Linked DNA regions of Macaca fascicularis. The protein of the gene in region 3 binds, or shares a complex with, the protein of the main gene of each other region. Links are inferred from orthologs where the notes say so. Each region holds a gene or a part of one and is shown on either strand. Other genes may lie near its edges.

Evidence for each region. Proteins that work in one complex are often made in the same cells at the same time.
Region 1: the proteins of AP3D1 (region 3) and AP3M1 are in contact, whole or in part, in a cryo-EM structure (PDB 9C5C), measured with the Homo sapiens proteins. The link is inferred for Macaca fascicularis from reciprocal best matches to the Homo sapiens genes AP3D1 and AP3M1. Residues at the interface, in NP_003929.4 of Homo sapiens: Lys29, Glu388, Gly389, Thr390, Thr391, Arg393, Glu429, Arg432; in NP_001307192.1 of Homo sapiens: Ser25, Ser27, Asp30, Tyr31, Glu34, Pro52, Asp104.
Region 2: the proteins of AP3D1 (region 3) and AP3B1 are in contact, whole or in part, in a cryo-EM structure (PDB 9C5C), measured with the Homo sapiens proteins. The link is inferred for Macaca fascicularis from reciprocal best matches to the Homo sapiens genes AP3D1 and AP3B1. Residues at the interface, in NP_003929.4 of Homo sapiens: Lys352, Leu442, Ile446, Ser471, Tyr483, Trp487, Glu491, His517, Ala520, Val521, Gln524, Asn525, Lys528, Val561, Gln562, Ser563, Ala564, Leu566, Glu567, Gln569, Glu570, Arg571, Ser573, Cys574, Gln577, Leu578, His581, Ile582, Leu585, Lys588; in NP_003655.3 of Homo sapiens: Asn75, Lys466, Lys467, Gln470, Val494, Ala497, Ser498, Trp501, Leu531, Leu534, Gln535, Asn538, Lys542, Asn567, Tyr568, Asp569, Asp572, Arg573, Arg575, Phe576, Ile577, Gln579, Leu580, Lys586, Gly588, Ala589, Leu590, Ser591, Tyr593, Lys596.

The regions. Positions count from the first base shown.
Region 1 is NC_088383.1:72,309,915-72,315,710, forward strand, and holds part of AP3M1 (AP-3 complex subunit mu-1), read left to right. Parts: intron 1-2,282; coding exon 2,283-2,368; intron 2,369-3,038; coding exon 3,039-3,172; intron 3,173-5,796. UniProt on the Homo sapiens protein: Part of the AP-3 complex, an adaptor-related complex which is not clathrin-associated. The complex is associated with the Golgi region as well as more peripheral structures.
Region 2 is NC_088380.1:82,074,003-82,079,798, forward strand, and holds part of AP3B1 (AP-3 complex subunit beta-1), read right to left. Parts: intron 5,696-5,796; coding exon 5,587-5,695; intron 2,594-5,586; coding exon 2,422-2,593; intron 1-2,421. UniProt on the Homo sapiens protein: Subunit of non-clathrin- and clathrin-associated adaptor protein complex 3 (AP-3) that plays a role in protein sorting in the late-Golgi/trans-Golgi network (TGN) and/or endosomes.
Region 3 is NC_088393.1:2,747,802-2,753,597, forward strand, and holds part of AP3D1 (AP-3 complex subunit delta-1), read right to left. Parts: coding exon 5,608-5,796; intron 5,133-5,607; coding exon 5,044-5,132; intron 4,892-5,043; exon of another isoform or gene 4,867-4,891; coding exon 4,781-4,866; intron 4,118-4,780; coding exon 3,996-4,117; intron 3,699-3,995; coding exon 3,619-3,698; intron 1-3,618. UniProt on the Homo sapiens protein: Part of the AP-3 complex, an adaptor-related complex which is not clathrin-associated. The complex is associated with the Golgi region as well as more peripheral structures.

The DNA of each region.
Region 1 (5,796 bases), on a different chromosome or scaffold from region 3:
AGTAGCCTATAGTCCCAGCCAATCAGGAGGTACACACCACATGCCACCATGCCTGGCTAGCTTTTATTTTTATTTTTTGTACAGACAGAGTCTCACCATGTTGCCCAGGCTGGTCTTGAACTCCTGGGCTCGAGCAGTTTACCTACCTCAATCTCCCAAAGTGCTGAGATTACAGGCATCAGCCACCACACCCAATCTAATTATCTTTTTAACCAGACAAAACAATGGTACTCTATAAGAATCATAAAATTTTATTATTAAAAATAGCAGCCGGACATGGTGGATCACTCCTGTAGTTCCAGCGCTTTGGGAGGCCATGGCAGGCAGATCACTTGAGGTCAGGAGTTCAAGAACAGCCTGGCCAACATGGTAAAACCTCGTCTCTACTATAAATACTAAAATTAACTGGGCATGGTGGCAGGCGCCTGTAATCCCAGCTACTCGGGAGGCCGAGGCAGGAGAATTGCTTGACCCCAGGAGGCAGAGGTTGCAGTGAGCCAAGACTGCACCACTGCACTCTAGCCTGGGTGACAGAGCGAGACTCCATCTCAAAAAAAAAAAAAAATTAGTCCTTCCCTTGCATTTATTTTATACATAAGGAAAGCCCAGAAGGGTTAAGTGAACTGTTCCAAGTCACACAACTTGTTAACATGTAGTGATGGTTTATTGTGAATTATAGTCAATATCTTCTCTTCCATGAGTGCCCTTTTCATTATAACATTCCATCTTATAGAATAACAGATTTTTGCCAGGCACGGTGGCTCACACCTGTAATCCCAGCACTTTGGGAGGCTTAGGCAGTAAGATCACTTGAGCCCAGGAGTTGAAGAGCAGCCTAGGCAACATAGCGAGACTCCGTATCTATCAAAAATTTAAAAGATTAGCTAGGCATGGGTTCCTTAATCCCACCTATTCAGGAGGCTGAGGCAGGAGAATTGCTCGAGCCCAGGAGTTCAATGCTGTAGTGAGCTATGTTCACACCACTGTACTCCAGCCTGGATGGCAGAGGGAGACCCTGTCTCTAAAAGAAAGAGAGATCTTTCTATTATGGATCCTATTTCTTAAAAGTTGACTTAGTCCATTTCATAATACCCTTGCCTCATTTTAAAATTCTATTGAAAATGTTTTTGGTTTGTTTTATTTTGTTTTTGAGACAGAGTCTCACATTGTCGCCCAGGCTGTAGTACAGTGTTGCGGTCTCGGCTCACTGCAACCTCCGCCTTCTGGGTTCAAGCAATTCTCCTGCCTCAGCCTCTCAAGTAGCTGGGACTACAAGCACACACCACCACGCCTGGCTAATTTTTTGTATTTTTAGTAGAGACGGGGTTTCGCCATGTTACCCAGGCTGGTCCCAAACTCCTGAGCTCAGATAATCTACCCACTTCGGCTTCCCTAAACGCTGGGATTACAGGCATGAGCCACTGTGCCTGGCCTCATATGTTTTAAACTCATATCCAGTCATCTTACAGGGTTGGCTCCATAAAGGAGACAGTTTAATTTTCCTTAGAATTAGCATATTCTGGCTGGGTATGGTAGTTCGCACCTGTAATCCCAGCACTTTGGGAGGCTGAGGTAGGCAGATTGCTTGAGCCCAGGAGTTCGAGACCAACCTGGGCAATGTAACAAGACCCTGTCTCTACAAAAAAATACAAAAATTAGCCAGGCATGGAGGTGCATGCCTGTAGTACCAGCTGCTTGGGAGGCTGAGGTGGGAGGATTGCTTGAGCCCAGGAGGTTGAGGCTGCAGTGAGCCGTGATAGCACTACTACACTCCAACCTGGGTGACAGAGAAAGACCCTGTCTCAAAAAAAAAAAAAAAAATTATATTCTACAGTGGCATACCTGTAGTCCCAGTTACTGTGGGGGCCAGCTGGGACTAGCTAGTAAGACCTCATCTCTTAAAAAAAAAGAAAAATTATCATATTCCAACCAGAGTTAGGTATGGACCTTGTTCCCTGACCTGTTAATAGAGATGTAAAGCTTCAGTAAGTCTGACACCCAGAGGGTATCTCCATTATTCTAAATATAGTGATTGTTGGGCTAGGTGTCATGGCACGCGCCTATATTCCCAGCTATTCGGGAGGCTAGGGCGGGAGGATTACTTGAGCCCAGGAGTGAGGCTGCAGTGAGCTGTGATCGTGCCACTGCACTCCAACCTTGGCAACAGAGCAAGACTCTGTCTCTAAAAACAATAAATAAATAAAAATAAAAAGATATAGTGATAGCTCTAGTTAAGACTCATATTCCGTTGATGTTATCTTCCTTTTTCTTTCTTTCTTCAGGATCTACAGTCTTTGCAGAAATTCAGGGGGTCATTGATGCTTGCATTAAACTATCTGGAATGCCCGATCTCTCCCTTTCTTTCATGGTAAGTTTTATTCTCCTGTTTTATAGCCCCTTGAATGCCTAATACATGTGAAGTACTAAATGAAATGATAAATATTGAGATAAGTTTGCATCTTAGATTGCAAAGGATTGTCTCAGAAATATTCCTAGCAGAGTTTCCTAAGACAGGCACTTACATGATGAGCGTGGTCTTTATGGAAAGGCTAAGGGAGGTCTTTGCCTGAGTGTGCTAGAAAGGGCTTAAAATTGGCTGGCTGGCTTCTGCAAATATCCAGTATCATTTTTACTGAGTAATTATTTGCTTTGCTGATATGAAAGGACATTGGTCTTTTGTATCATTTTAGAGTCAGCATGACATACTGCTAGGAACAATTAAGAGAACTGACTTCTGGTGTTGTCACCAGTTTGTTCTGACCTTAAGTCCTCTGAACCTCAGTTTTTTAATCTGTTAAAGGGAAATAATACTACTTGCCTTTTCTCCTTTATGGTTATTGAAATTCAATAAAATAATGTACATAAAATATTTACAAACTTTAAAGCATTGTGAAACTATAAGGTTGTGTAGATGTGGTCATAAACTCTTCCATGACTGCTTTATCTTCAGGGAACATATTGATTTGTCAAGGTATCTAAGTACAGTTCCCATATTCATTATGCTCTATGAACACGGCTGTCTTCTGTTTTCTTGACAGAACCCTAGGCTTCTGGATGACGTCAGCTTCCACCCCTGCATCCGGTTCAAGCGTTGGGAATCTGAAAGAGTTTTGTCATTTATTCCTCCAGATGGAAATTTCCGACTCATATCATACCGTGTCAGCTCACAAAAGTATGTTGATGCATCAGCCAGAATCTGCCATCATACATATCAAGCAGAACTCACCTTTCCCTGTTCCTTTATGACAGTTGAGTACTTGAGGTCGTCATTGCTCACTTTAACCATAGCTCACCGGGAGACCCAGTGAGAACTGGTGAAAATACGCACCTAAAATATCAGTATACTTTGAATGTATGAGTGTAGAGTGGTACTAAGTGAGACTAGAGTAAAATCTATAGCCAAGGGCAAGCAAACCATGCATAACCTGGGCAAAAGGTTTTGGTACTGGTTCTTTGCAAGGTTACGCATTGTCAAATTATGGCGCTGGTTCTTTGCTCAGGTTATGCACGGTCCATTTTGCTCTGCTTCTGACAGCTGAGTACTTTGCAAGCAGAGCAAAATGGACTGTGCATAACCTGGGCAAAACCATGAACCACTGCCATAATCTTACCATAGTCTGTAGACTTTGTGGCTAACAAGGAGACAGACCTACCTGTAGTTCGTGAGGACATTCCCAAACTTACCTGCTTCAAGTCAGTCTTCTCTGCTTCGAGGTTTTAAGGAACTGTTTAGCATTGAGAGCCGGGTGCAGTGGTTCACTCCTGTAATCCCAACACTTTGGGAGGCCAGTGTGGGCAGATCACTTGAGGTCAGGAGTTCTAGACCAGTCTGGTCAACGTGGTGAAACCTTGTCTCTACTAAAAATACAAAATTAGCCAGGCGTGATAGCGTGTGCCTATAATCTCAACTACTTGGGAGGCTGAGGCATGAGAATCACTTGAACCTGGAAGGCAGAGGTTGCAGTGACAGATCATGCCACTGCACTCCAGCCTGGCCAAGAGGGTGAAATTGCATCTCAAAAAAATAAAAAAAAATTTAGCATTGGGGATCGTAGTTTTATAGCTAGTTTGTTTCTTGAAAATACCAGAAGTTATTTGAGTAACATTATGACAGGACTCAAAAGCAGACAAATTATTTCTTGGCTCTTTTTTTCTTTGAACCGGAGTTCGGCTCTTGTTGCTCAGACTGGAGTGCAGTGGTGAAATTTTGGCTTACCTCAACCTCCACCTCTAGGGTTCAAGTGATTCTCTGCCTCAGCCTCCCAAGTAGCTGGGATTACATGCATGTACCACCACGCCCGGCTAATTTTGTGTTTTTAGTAGAGACAGGGTTTCTCCATGTTGGTCAGGCTGGTCTCGAACTCCCGACCTTGGGTGATCCGCCCACCTCAGCCTCCCAAAGTCCTGGGATTACAGGCGTGAGCCACCGCACCCAGCCTGTTTCTTGACTCATCACATAGGAACTGTTTTCATTTATATAAAACATATTTTACATTATTTTTCAGTGGGATCGTAATTCATTTTTTTAAACTAGGGCCATTTGCCCCAATTGTTTTTTTTTTGTTTGTTTGTTTTATGTTTTTTTGGTTTTTTTGTTTGTTTGTTTTGAGACGGAGTTTCACTGTTGTCGCCCAGGCTGGAGTACAATTCTGTGATCTTGGCTTATGGCAACCTCTACCTCCTGGGTTCAAGTGATTCTTCTGCCTCAGCCTCCCAAGTAGCTGGGATTACAGGCGCCCGCCACCGCGCCCAGCTAATTTTTGTTTCTTGTTACTTTTTTTAGTAGAGAGGGGGTTTCACCATGTTGGCCAGGCTGATCTCAAACTCCTGACCTCCAGTGATCTGCCTGCCTTGGCCTCCCAAAGTGCCAGGATTACAGGCATGAGCCACTGCACCCAGCCACCCCCAATTGTTTATACTGTTATTAAACTTCAGATTTCTGTCTTGATTTGTATACAGTTCCCAGCACAGTGGTACCAGAACATTATGCTATACTCAGCTCCCCCTTGTGTAGATGCTGAATCTGCAGTTCTGGAGGTACCGCCATCTTGGTATCCTTGGAGGATTGGTTGCAAAAATCAGCAGATGCTCAAGTCCCTTATATAAAATGGTGTAGTATTTGCATATAACCTATGCACATCCTCCTGGGTACTTAAAATCATCTCCAAGTTACTTGTGATAGTACACTGTAAACACTGTGTAAATAATTGTTATACCAGGTTGACTTTTTATTTTTATTATATTTTGTAGTTGTATTGTTATTTTTTTTTTTTTCTTTTTTTTTTTTGAGATGGAATCTCGCTCCGTTGCCCAGGCTGGAGTGCAGAGGCGCAATCTCAGCTCACTGCAATCTCCACTTCCCAGGTTCAAGTAATTCTCCTGCCTCAGCCTTCTGAGTAGCTGGGACTACAGGCACAAGCCACCACACCCAGCTAATTTTTGTATTTTTAGTAGAGACGAGGTTTCACCATGTTGGCCAGGCTGGTCTTGAACTCCTCACCTCAGCCTCCCAAAGTACTGGGATTACAAGTGTGAGCCACCACACCCAGCCTCAGCTAATTTTTGTATTTTTGTAGAGATGAGGTTTCACTATGTTGGCCAGGCTGGTCTCAAACTCCTGACCTCAGGTGATCCCCTCCCACCGCCGGTCTCGGCCTCCCAAAGTGCCGGGATTACAGGCATGAGCCACCACGCCTGGCCGATAGTGTTAAATAATATTTTCAGTCCTCAACTGGTCAAATTCAAGGATGCATAACTGTGGCTACAGAGAGCCAACTCTGTAGCACCTTATTGTGG
Region 2 (5,796 bases), on a different chromosome or scaffold from region 3:
AACAAATATTAATTAATTTTTGACTACATGTTGGCATTATGTTAGGTGCTAAGGATAACAATGGTTAAGAGGATCTATGTGTGTCTACCCTACAGAGTCTACAGTCCACTGGAGGATATAGATAAGGTGGCAGTGATAATACAGTATAGTAAGTAATAAATTATAGTGTGTCAGGAGAACATTTGGAGAGACACCTAAACAAACTTAATCCAATTAGGAATGCTTCCTGGAGAAAGAGACATATAAGCCAAGATATAGGAGTAAGGCTGGCAGATGGGCAGGGAAGCAGCTCTCCAAGGAGAAGGAATAACATGTGAGATGACCAAACACCCTTATCTCAGGGGATGAGAGATGCCTTGTGGTGTTTTATATTTTCCTGGAAACTAAAAGTCTAGTTCTCTCTACAACATGTGTGTGTATATTTTTAAGAATCTACTGTGGGCCAGAAAGGGCTAGGCATTTCATACCAATCATACTGATTACCTAATTTAAATGCACTCTTCCTGGGTACATTATTATCCCATTTACAATAATGAAATTAATATTCAGAAAGGTTAAATAACTTGCTCAGGGACACATAACAAGAGGGGCAGAACTAGAATCTGAACTCAAGCCTGTCTCACTCCAAAGTCCGTATTTTTTCCACTATGTCATACTATCTCCCTTCAAATGAAAACACTTTGGAGTGTAAAATTTAAATTCGGTCATAAATATTTATGATTACTAAAGGGTGGTTTTTGAAGATGCTTAAAGCTTATTAAGAGCTTTAAAAAATTATCATACTAGCAAAGTTAAAAAAACATTCTAAGAGGCAGAAAAATACTGGGGGAGGGAGAGGAGTGAGGCAAGGAAAGAATCGATATTTCCTAGAATTGATTTTTGTAGAGGAAATATGATTGCTGTTTATTAAAAATGGAGCCATGGCAACATCTCAGAGCACATGTAATTATATTTGAAGACTGAAAAATATGTTGTTGTTTTTCCCTGGCAAAAAAACGGCAATTTATTATCCCCAATTCACTGGTTAAAATGTGTACTTAAAAATATAAGGTTTAGAATGTATTTGTGGTTCTCTTTGTAATAAACAATTCTTTTAAATTCAAATGTGGGTAAAGAGAAAAATCTATTTCTGAAGAAAGGAATAATAAAACTAATACATGACTACAAATTTCTAGTATACTGACTTCTGCCATCTGAAAGGACATTTCATGCACTGAACAAAACTTTCCCTTTCTAGAAACAAGACATGTTTTATAACTCATATCATCATAGATATTCTGATATTAAACCAGAAGTACAGGATTTCTCTCAAAGACAAGGCTATTATAAACCAAGTAGCTCCTTTGCTGCAACAAGTGAATGATTCTAAATATATTTAACTTCCAGCTTTTAAGATAAGATTTTAAAAGTAAAAGTGTTATTTTATTATGCATCACTCAATTTTGATGGTAATTATTGTTTACCTTACTGCTTAGAGTTTCAGATGTTAATCTAATGAAAAGAATTTACTGGTAACTAGGTTTCTAACTTTGCAATGATGAAAAGCCTGTATTAATTTAACCTACAGATTTCATTTGTTCTGAACAGGAAAAACAATATAAATCACTTTTAAAATCATTAAATCCTGACTTAAATTAATAAAGTCATAATTAGGGCATTATGCTGTGTTTGTTATGGAAGTGGCAGGGCGAGCTGCTTTAATTACTGTCTGTAATAAAAGGAGCAGAGAGCGTACTGCGCCCCAATCAGTGCTGTCAGCCACGACTGAGCCGAGCTGCAAGCTCATCAAGTGAGCGGGCAGCAGGCTCCTGGGGAAAGGACCATCATGTCGGCAGAGGCCACTCACTGACAGCAGTGGGGAAAACAGAGTTGCACAATCCAAGATATTAGCCCCAATTACTCAAAATTTTAATGACACTTTAATACATGATAATGTTGTTGATAATGGGAGATCTTAAAAAGTGCTAACACTTAAAGCTCTTATGACCGTCTTCCTTCACAGCCCTTGACTCTAATATTTGGATCATAATCTTTTTAATATAACATTATTTAGAAAAATCAATTGTCTTGGTTACATAATGGCAAAGTGTTGAAGGATTTAATTTTAGCCCTCAGCAAAATTGCTACAAAAGGTAATTAAGTGTTTCATACCTATTGCTTGATCACTTAACTCAGCCTTCCAAGGTTATACCAATTTTCAAAATGTAACCCCAAGATATGTTCAAGTTCAAAATGAAAGCTAAGCATTACAAGTAGGAAAATAATGTGAACTAGCACTTTAATTTTAAAAAGATTTAATATCTGTTTGGGAAAAAATACACACTTCTTTTCTCTCATCATTTTTTGATTAACAAGAAACATCTGCCTGGGGCAAACTTTCACAGAATATTTTTTGAAGGAAATTCTGACAAAATACATTACCTTTTTCCTTTGGCTTTTGAGTTCCTCTTGGCTGTTCTTTTGTTTTCTAGGCCTGACTCCCTTCCACTCTCACTGTCCTGCTCACTGGAGGAGTCCTCACTGCTGTCCTCATTGCTGTCTCCTTCCTCCCCACTTTCGCCTTGCTCTCCACTTTCACTTCCAGATTCACTCTCTGAAAAACAGAACCAGATGTTCTTAGATTTATAGTCATTTAATTAGACACACGGACACCTGTAACTGTCAATATTCATCTCAAATGAAACCAGATGTTGAATTTTAGTTCAGTGGACACCACGTGTTTAACATTTCATTCCCATACCCCATTCTTTCAGCTCTATGGATTCCTTTAGCACGGTGAGTTTGGAGGGAGGCAGACAGAGAGAGGATGCTCTGACAATGAGTAGAGAAAAGCTAAGCAAAGATGAACCAAGTAAACCAAATTTGAGGGAATCTCACTTTTCAAACCCCAAAGTATATAGCTTTGTCAAAAACTTTCTTTTAAAGAATTACATAAAGATTGATGTAAGGCTAAAGAAATAATTTTAAATTCTTCTGCTTGTAATGGGAAATTCTATTTAGAGTAAAAGAAGGCAACAGTTTAATCTTCTTAGGAACAAATTTTGAGAGGAAAATGAGCCATTCAAATCACCTGGAAAAACTTCCAAATTCAAAGACAATAGGCAAATGACTAATTAAAGAGTTATTACTTATTCGAGCTAGTAAAGGAGTTTTCCATAGGTCAAAGAGATGATCAAGTTACATTGAGGAATTATACTTTTAAATGTTTTATGTATAAATTATGGTATGCTAGGACTCTCTGCAGAAGAGAACACATGAAAAATATATGTGTATTTTTTACTATTTAAAATGACTACAACTACAGAGTTGTGTCCTAGACAAAAGGACAAACTGTTGCCCTGCCTGTGATCTACGTAACGAAGCCCTCTTAGGCAGGAACACAACCTTTAATTAAACATTCTAATGGTTAAATAACACCAACATCAGGAAGGTCCATCACAGTGAAAAGCTAGGAGTGCCTGTATTCTTTCAAGATGGCTTGCAAGGGGTACAAGCATGGGTTATCAAGTTAGTGTTCGCATTCAGATCCTGGCTCTGCTACCTGCCAGTTGTAAAACTGATCAAGTTATTCAACTTCTCTGGGTCTTGGTTTCCTTTTCGGCAAATGGGGATAATACTAGTTACTTTTCAGAGTTGTTCTGAAGATTAAATGATTTGAAACATATAAAGGTGATTAGAACACAACAGGGTCTGCCACAGGTTAAGGTGCTCATCATTATCATCATTTACAAACAGGAAAGTTTATTTTACTAAAATAAAGCTACTAAATAAGGACATTTTAAATTTGTGGCAATATCCAAGTTACACACACATACATATTAAGTCAGATAACTGGCTTATGCTATAAACGATGAAAAGAAATTACAGCATCTAAGTTACTCTCTCATGTCATCACATGGGACTGCAACACGAATCTGGGGCCAGCTGACTTCAGGCACCATTATTTAAATTTTCGAGTCAGTAAAATCTTAGAGAAAATTAGTTTATTCTCAAAAATACTTGCTACCTGGAAAACACAATCTTATAACATTTTTGTTTGTTTTTTGAGATGGAGTCTTGCTCTGTTGCCCAGGCTGGAGTGTAGTGGTGTGATCACGGCTCACTGTAACCTCCGCCTCCTGGGTTCACACCATTCTCCTGCCTCAGTCTCCTGAGTAGCTGGGATTACAGGCACGTGCCACCACGCCCAGCTAATTTTTTGTATTTTTAGTAGAGACGGGGTTTCACCGTGTTAGCCAGTATGGTCTCAATCTCCTGACCTTGTGATCTGCCTGTCTCAGCCTCCCAAAGTGCTGGGATTACAGGCATGAGCCACCACGCCCAGCCAATCTCATAACTTCTAGCAAGAAAAGTTTTCTTTTTTCCTCTGGCAGCTACAGTAGAACTCCTGCCACATGACTCATTATTACATGTATTCAGACAAACTCATGAAAAGCTGTAATGTTAATGGAATATTTCGTGTATGTATTAAAAATGGTCAGCCTATGAATAGGCATGGGCTAGTGAATAAATATAATGTAGACAAATATCTATATGTAATTCTACAAAATGAAGAAGTACATGATTAATTACACAGATAATTCTCACAGGTCTACATTACTCCTGAAATTCCATATTTTTTAATATCTACTTTCTCAATTATTTCTCTACTTTTCAGTTGATTACTTCAGAAGGTAATGTATCACAGATTAATTTATCAGATATTAAAAACAAAGATTTTTGATAAGGAACACAGAGAAAAGAGAGTGAATTACCTTAGAGTTGGGTAGTAGATAACCAAGTAAGAGTGACAGGCCCTGGTTCTCCAAGGTATAAGATTTTAGAGAAAGTTGGGTATCACTTGGTCTTGGGGCAGACTTGCCTATTAGGTTAAGTGTTAATAAGAGCATCAGAAAGTGACTCCAATATAGTTTTCATTAGGCAAATCACTCACAGAATTTTAGCAATGAAGGGACTTTAAGAAATATTTAACTCTACCCCTTCATTTATCTGATATAGAGAAAAGTAGGTGCCTTCTTCAATTTGCATAGGTAAAACCCAGGGTTTCTAAATCCTTCCTATTCAGCATTCTTTTCACTGCATACAGTTACTCTCAATCTTTAGTTTGATTTTTTTATAGTATATAGAGACTTAATAATTTTAGCTTTATCTCTATAGAGGTTCACAGAAAGAGATGAGTATAAAATGAAAGAGAAAAAGACTCTTCAAGGTATAAAATAAACTTTACATTTTTATAAAAGAAAGTTACTTTTAAAGACTCCACTAAAAGTTTATCAAGTATAAAATCATGTTTTCCAATAGATATAATAGGCATTATGGTTTAGAATTCAGAAAAGTATGAGTTCCTGTTTCAGCTATACCAATGTATTAGCTATTGTCCAAGAGACATTGTAAAGTAAAAAGAGAATTTAGTAATTAAAAATTACCTTGAAAAGTAAACAGCGATATATAAATGAAAGGGATTATTTTGATAATACAAACTTCACTTAAAACCACCTGCTGAATATTATAGATTAGGCCTTGTTTCTGAGATATAGAATGTAATCTACTATGTAAAAATACATGCCAATAAATTATAAAACCCACCACTGTCACTGCTACTATCAGAAGAGTCCTCCTCTTCCTCAGATTCAGAATAAAACTTCTTAGCAGAATTCTCTTGTTTTGCTTTTCCCGCTGGGGTCCATTCTTTTGCCTGTTTAAACAAATAAAGTAAATATAAATGAATTCTCATTCAGAGATTTAGAGTTCTGGCAAACTTAATCATCAAGAACATAACCAAATTCAAAAGCAAGC
Region 3 (5,796 bases):
GACCCCAACGCCCAGACCCCAACGCCCAGACCCCAACACCAAGACCCCAACGCCCAGACCCCAATGCCCAGACCCCAACGCCCAGACCCCAACACCGAGACCCCACCGGCCAGACCCCAATGCCGAGGCACCAATGCCCAGACCCCAATGCCCAGACCCCAATGTCCAGACCCCAATGTCTAGACCCCAATGTCCAGACCCCAATGCCGAGGCACCAATGCCAAGGCCACTGGCAGAAACCAACATCAAGACCCCAACCCACAGACCCCAACACCAAGGCCACCGGCACACCAAGGCGGATGGATACTAGGACTCTCTGACACAAGTTTTCTTTTTCTCTTTTTTGGAGTCTCACTCTGTTGCCCAGGCTAGAGTGCAGTGGCACAATCAGGGCTCACCACAGCCTTGAACTCCTGGGCTCAAGAGATCCTCCCACCCCAGCCTCCCGAGTAGCAGGGACTAGAGGCTTGCTGTACTAATTTCTTAGTACTGGCTAATTTTTAAATTTTTTGTAGTCCTGGGGTCTTGCCACGTTCTCAGGCTGGTCTCGACCTCCAGGGCTCAAGCAATCCTCCTGCCTCAGCCTCCCGAGTAGCAGGGACCACAGTCACATGCCACCATGCCCAGCTGGCCTAAGCTTTAAAGTAGCTCTTAGAAAACACTCCAACAGATCACCAGGGCATCAGCAAAGACATGGAAGATACAAGAAGAGCCCAGTGGGAATTTCAGACCCGAAAAACAGACCCTCCCTGTGTGGGCTCAACAGCAGAACAGCCAGGACAAGGCAGAGTGGTGAGCTTGGCAGGAGAGCAACAACCATGAACCCATCTGAACACAGCCTCGGGTCATGAAGGGCAGCAGCCCAGGCTGGGGAGGAAGAGCGCAACACCCAAAAAGCAGCAAAACAAATCAGCTCCCAGACGCCTCACGCCCATCAGAATGGCTGCTGTCAGCCGGGCGCAGTGGCTCATGCCTCTAATACCAGCACTTTGGGAGGCTGAGGCAGGCGGATCAGGAGTTCGAGACTAGCCTGACTAACATGGTGAAACCCCGGAAACCCTGTGTCTACTAAAAATACAAAAAAATTAGCCAGGCGAGGTGGTGCGTGCCTGTAATCCCAGCTACTTGGGAGGCTGAGACAGGAGAATCGCTTGAACCCGGGAGGAGCTTGCAGTGAGCTGAGATCGCGCCACTGCACTCCAGCCTGGGTGACAGAGCAAGACTCTATCTCAAAGGAAAAAAAAAGAATGGCTGCTGTCAGCATAACAATGACAGGTGAAGAAATGGGGCCTCCTGCCTGGCGGCAGATGGGATACACGGTGCAGCGCTGGGGAAGACAGTCTGGCAGCTCCTCAAAACCTCAAAACCTCAAACATGGAATCACCACAGGACCCAGCAATCACACTCCTGGGTGTATATTCAAAACAAATGGGCTCACTCCTGCAATGCCAGCACTTTGGGAGGCCGAGGCAGGCGGATCACCTGAGGTTAGGAGTTCCAGACCAGCCTGGCCAACCTGGCAAAACCCCGTCTCCACTAAAAATACAAAAATTAGTCAGGCAAGGTGACGCACACCTGTAATCCCAGCTATTCAGGAGGCTGAGGCAGGAGAATCGCGTGAACCCGGGAGGCGGAGGTTGTGGTGAGCCCTTGGCTCCACTGCACCCCAGCTTGGCCAACAGAGTAAGACTCTATTTCCAAAACAAATACAAAAACAAAAACTAAAACACAAAAACAAAAGTACTGAAGGCAGGGACTCAAACAGTTATTTGTTTAACAACAATGTTGACAGCAGCACAATTCACAACAGCCAGAAGGTGGGAGCAGCAATGGATGAGGGGACACACAGCACGGTCCACCCGCACAAGAGAATACGATTCTGCCCTGAAAACGAAGGGAATCCTGACAGGCTGCGATGTGGATGCACCTTGAGGACATGAGGTGGAATAAGAGTAGCCAGACACAGAAGGACACATCCCGTGTGGTTCCACTCCTAGGCGGTCCCTAGAGTCATCAGATTCACCAAGACACAAAGTAGGATACGGGGTGCCAGGGGCTGGGGAGGTGACGGGGAGTGAGTGTTTCATGGAAGGCCGTGAACCAGGAGAAAACTGGAACGTTAGGAATGAAAAGAACATCAATGGCAGGTCGGATGCAGTGGCTCACGCCTGTAATCCCAGCACTTTGGGAGGCCGAGGCAGGTGGATCATGAGGTCAGGAGATGGAGACCATCCTGGCTAACATGGTGAAACCCTGTCTCTACTAAAAATACAAAAAACTAGCCGGGCGTGGTGGCGGCGCCTGTGGTCCCAGCTACTTGGGAGGCTGAGGCAGGAGAATGGCGTGAACCCGGGTGGTGGAGCTTGCAGTGAGCCGAGATCGCGCCCCTGCACTCCAGCCTGGGCGACAGAGCAAGACTCCGTCTCAAATAAATAAATAAATAAATAAAAGTATGTATGCACGATCCCTGGACACCCACACATAAAAATACAAAGCAAGGGTATCAAAACCACAACAGACCTCTAGGAACTGAGGAATGCTGAGTAATGAACATGAGGAAGAAGGCGGAGAAGCGAAAGAAACACGTGCAAACTGGAAATCCTCAGTATGCTCCCAAAGGGCACTGGAACCAAACCAGACATCAAAAAAAATTGGTTCTTTGAAAAGTGCAATAAAATGGACAAACCTCTACCCAGGAGAACCAGGAAAAAAGAGACACAAACCGTGACCATCAGAACAGAAAGTGACCCAGGATCATCACAAAGAGCAGTGAAAAGAAACGGAGCAGCAAGACCGCGGCGCGCACCGCTCCGCACATCAGCTCAGTGACCCTGATGATTCCTTACGCTTGTTCTCTGAAAAGTACAAACTACCAAACTCACCCAAGATGAGCGATAACTTGGGGATTCCTATAACTGTTAACACAAAAAACTGCGGTTGTAGCTAAAAGCCTGCAGAAAAGGAACTCCCCAGGCCCAATGGTTTTCTGATGAATTCTGTACACACATTTCTTTCGAAGGAAAAAATGCCACTCATCACACAGTCTGTCCCAAAACAGAGAGGACACACTCTCCTGCGTGTCTGATGAGGTCACTGGATGACAAAACCAAAGGCGGTACCAGAAAAGAAAACTAAAGACCCAACTCCTCATATACACACACGAAAGCCCTCAACAAAACAGTCACACACTGAGTTTGGCAGTCGACACACTGCGAAGACAACCACCCTGCAATACTCAGGAGAGGGAGGCCTGGAGCGGAGCGGGCGAGGAGTCATTCTGGAAGCTCAGCAGTGAGAGGTGGAGAGTCCGACCCCAGGACCTTGGCTGCCTTGTGCACAGGGGTGGGGTGGGGGGCAGGAGTGCAGTGGGAGTGGGGGCCCCCGGAGCCATGTGTCAGCCTGGGGTGAGCAGCACAGCAGGAGGCGGAAGCCCCGTCTTGCTGAGGGAAAGTCTGCGCTACTGAGTGGGGCTGGCACAGGTGAGGGGCTCACGGCTGTGGTGCTGCCATCACTGTCCTTGAGCCCTCAAAGTCCCAAGGCTCACCCCTGGGGATGAAGGCCTGGGCATGGCCCCAGGAGAGGTGGGAGCCAGGGTGTGTGCCGTGACCTAAGGCTCACCTTTTTCACCAGGAGGCAGACGTGGTGGCCCTGGATGGAGCGGCTGTACATGGAGGCGCAGGAGTCCACTCGCTCCACAACTGCAACAGAGCGGGCGGCGTCAGGCCCCCGCACACCGCATGGTTGCAGCCCCACCCCCAGAGCAGGGGCCACCTTCCTGGGCTGCCCTTGGCCACAGCTTCAGGTCTGCAGGAGCAGGGTGTGGCCCTGGGAAGCCTGGGGTGTGGGGAATGCAGCCCCCGCACCAGCTTCCAGGCCTCGGGGCCACCAGTTACCCGGGATCCCAAAGGGTGGGAGTTTGGGTGCGAGGGCCACAGACCCGGCTCCAAAAGGAAGGGACAGCCGCCGCGCGTGTGAAAGCCCCTCACTCTCCTTACCAGAAAAATGGTGGTGAAAACAGATCTTTGCCAGAAGGTTCTGGAAGGACATCCGAATGCCATCGACTTTGACTGAGCTCATGCTCAAGTCCCCAGACTCCAGCAACTTGGCAAAGGTGTCACTGTGGGAGGGACAGGGAGGCTGACTCCGGTGGGGCCGGGTTCCTCAGGCTCCCTGGCACAGAAGCCGACAAAACCTGCCACACATGCCACCTCCTGCCTGTCTGGGCCGGGAGGTCTCGGGGGTCCTGGAAGATGTGGCTTATTTTCATGTGTGGAAGCCCTCACACCCAGAAACTGATAATGACTTGTCTTTAAAGAGGTCACAGAGGTGCCTGAAGTCATGGGGTGGGCCCTCCTCTGACAAGGACGGATGTCCTGTAGGAAAGGACTAGCGGGACAGGCTAGGACGCAGGCACACAGAGGACAGCCTGCAACGACTCGGGGGGCAGGCAGTGCCGCACGCCAAGCCGTGCTGAGGAGAGGCCTCAGGAGCAGCCCGTGCTGCTGGCTCCCTGATCTCACTCCTCCAGCCTCCAGGACTGCCAGGAGCCAGAGCCTCTCTGGGTGACGCTGCCAGGCCTGTGGCTTCAACTACGCGGCCCCAGCTGGTGCAGACACCAGGCAGCCTGACCTGCACCAGCCACGAGCCAGGCCTCCAAATCTGTCTCTAAAGTCCTGCCCAGAAGCCTCAGTCTCCAGGGCACAGGTGTCTGTAAGGTCGAGGGAGGCGGAGGGGTGCGGGAGGCGGAGGGGTGCAGGAGGTGGGCGTGGCCGGGCCCCACCTGTAGCAGGGTGTGGTGGTCAGGTAGGAGCTGCAGCTGAAGTGCAGCCGGAAGTCCAGCTTCTCGTGGGTTGCGCCCTCGTCATTCTGCAGTGGAGGGAAGGTGGTGCAGCTGAGTGGGGAGTGAGGCCCAGGTCAGAGCTCCGGGCTCCCCAGGCAGGTGGCCCACTTCCCCTAGGGACACCTGGACACCCACTGGAATGAGGCAGGAGGAGCCCCAGCCTGCAGAGTCGGCTCCCTGACGCCGAGTGGAGCCCCGCATACCTTGGCAATGAAGGACAGGGTTCCCTTGAGCTTCTGCGCCATGACGATGCTCTGGATGGTGAACACATACTGGGCTTCGTTGGAGACGCCTGGCGGGGAAGAGGGGGAGTGGGGCCTGAGACGCAGCTGGGGCTCAGCATGGGCGGGGCCCCCGGGTCTGTCCTTAGCCCCAACTCCTCGATGGCTGATTAGGAATCTGAGCTCAGCCCCCAAGGGAGCACCAGGGGACAGGAGCAGAAACAAGAGGCTAGTGGAGTCCCCAGTTTGGCCTGGACCTGGTCCCATCCCTGTTTCAGAGGACAGACTCGGCCACTGGAGCCGTGGAACCCAGGAAGGCCCCAGCCCCCAGCCCAGCCCTTGGGGCTCTAGCCAGGTCTATCCGAGGCCATCACACTTCTCAGAGAGCTGCAGTGAGACCCCGACACTGAGGAGGCACTGAGGTGCAGCCTGGGGACCAAGGGAACGTGAGGAGGAAGCAACAAGAACCAGTGGATCCGGGCAGCCACCAGCTGCCACCGTGCTCCCACAATCCCCAGGAGAGGCCGTGAGTGGGGCAGGGCTCACCCGGGGGCAGCTGGAAAGGCACGGGGACACCATCATGGACGGAGGAGCCCTGCGGCCGGGCCATCCTGGCATTGAGTGAGTCCAGCACGCTGAGCTCCATGCCCTTGAGGATGCTGCTGCTCCGGTTCTCCAGCACGATGGCCACGGTGACCTGACTGTCCTCCTGCAGACTGCCCCGGATGTCACAGG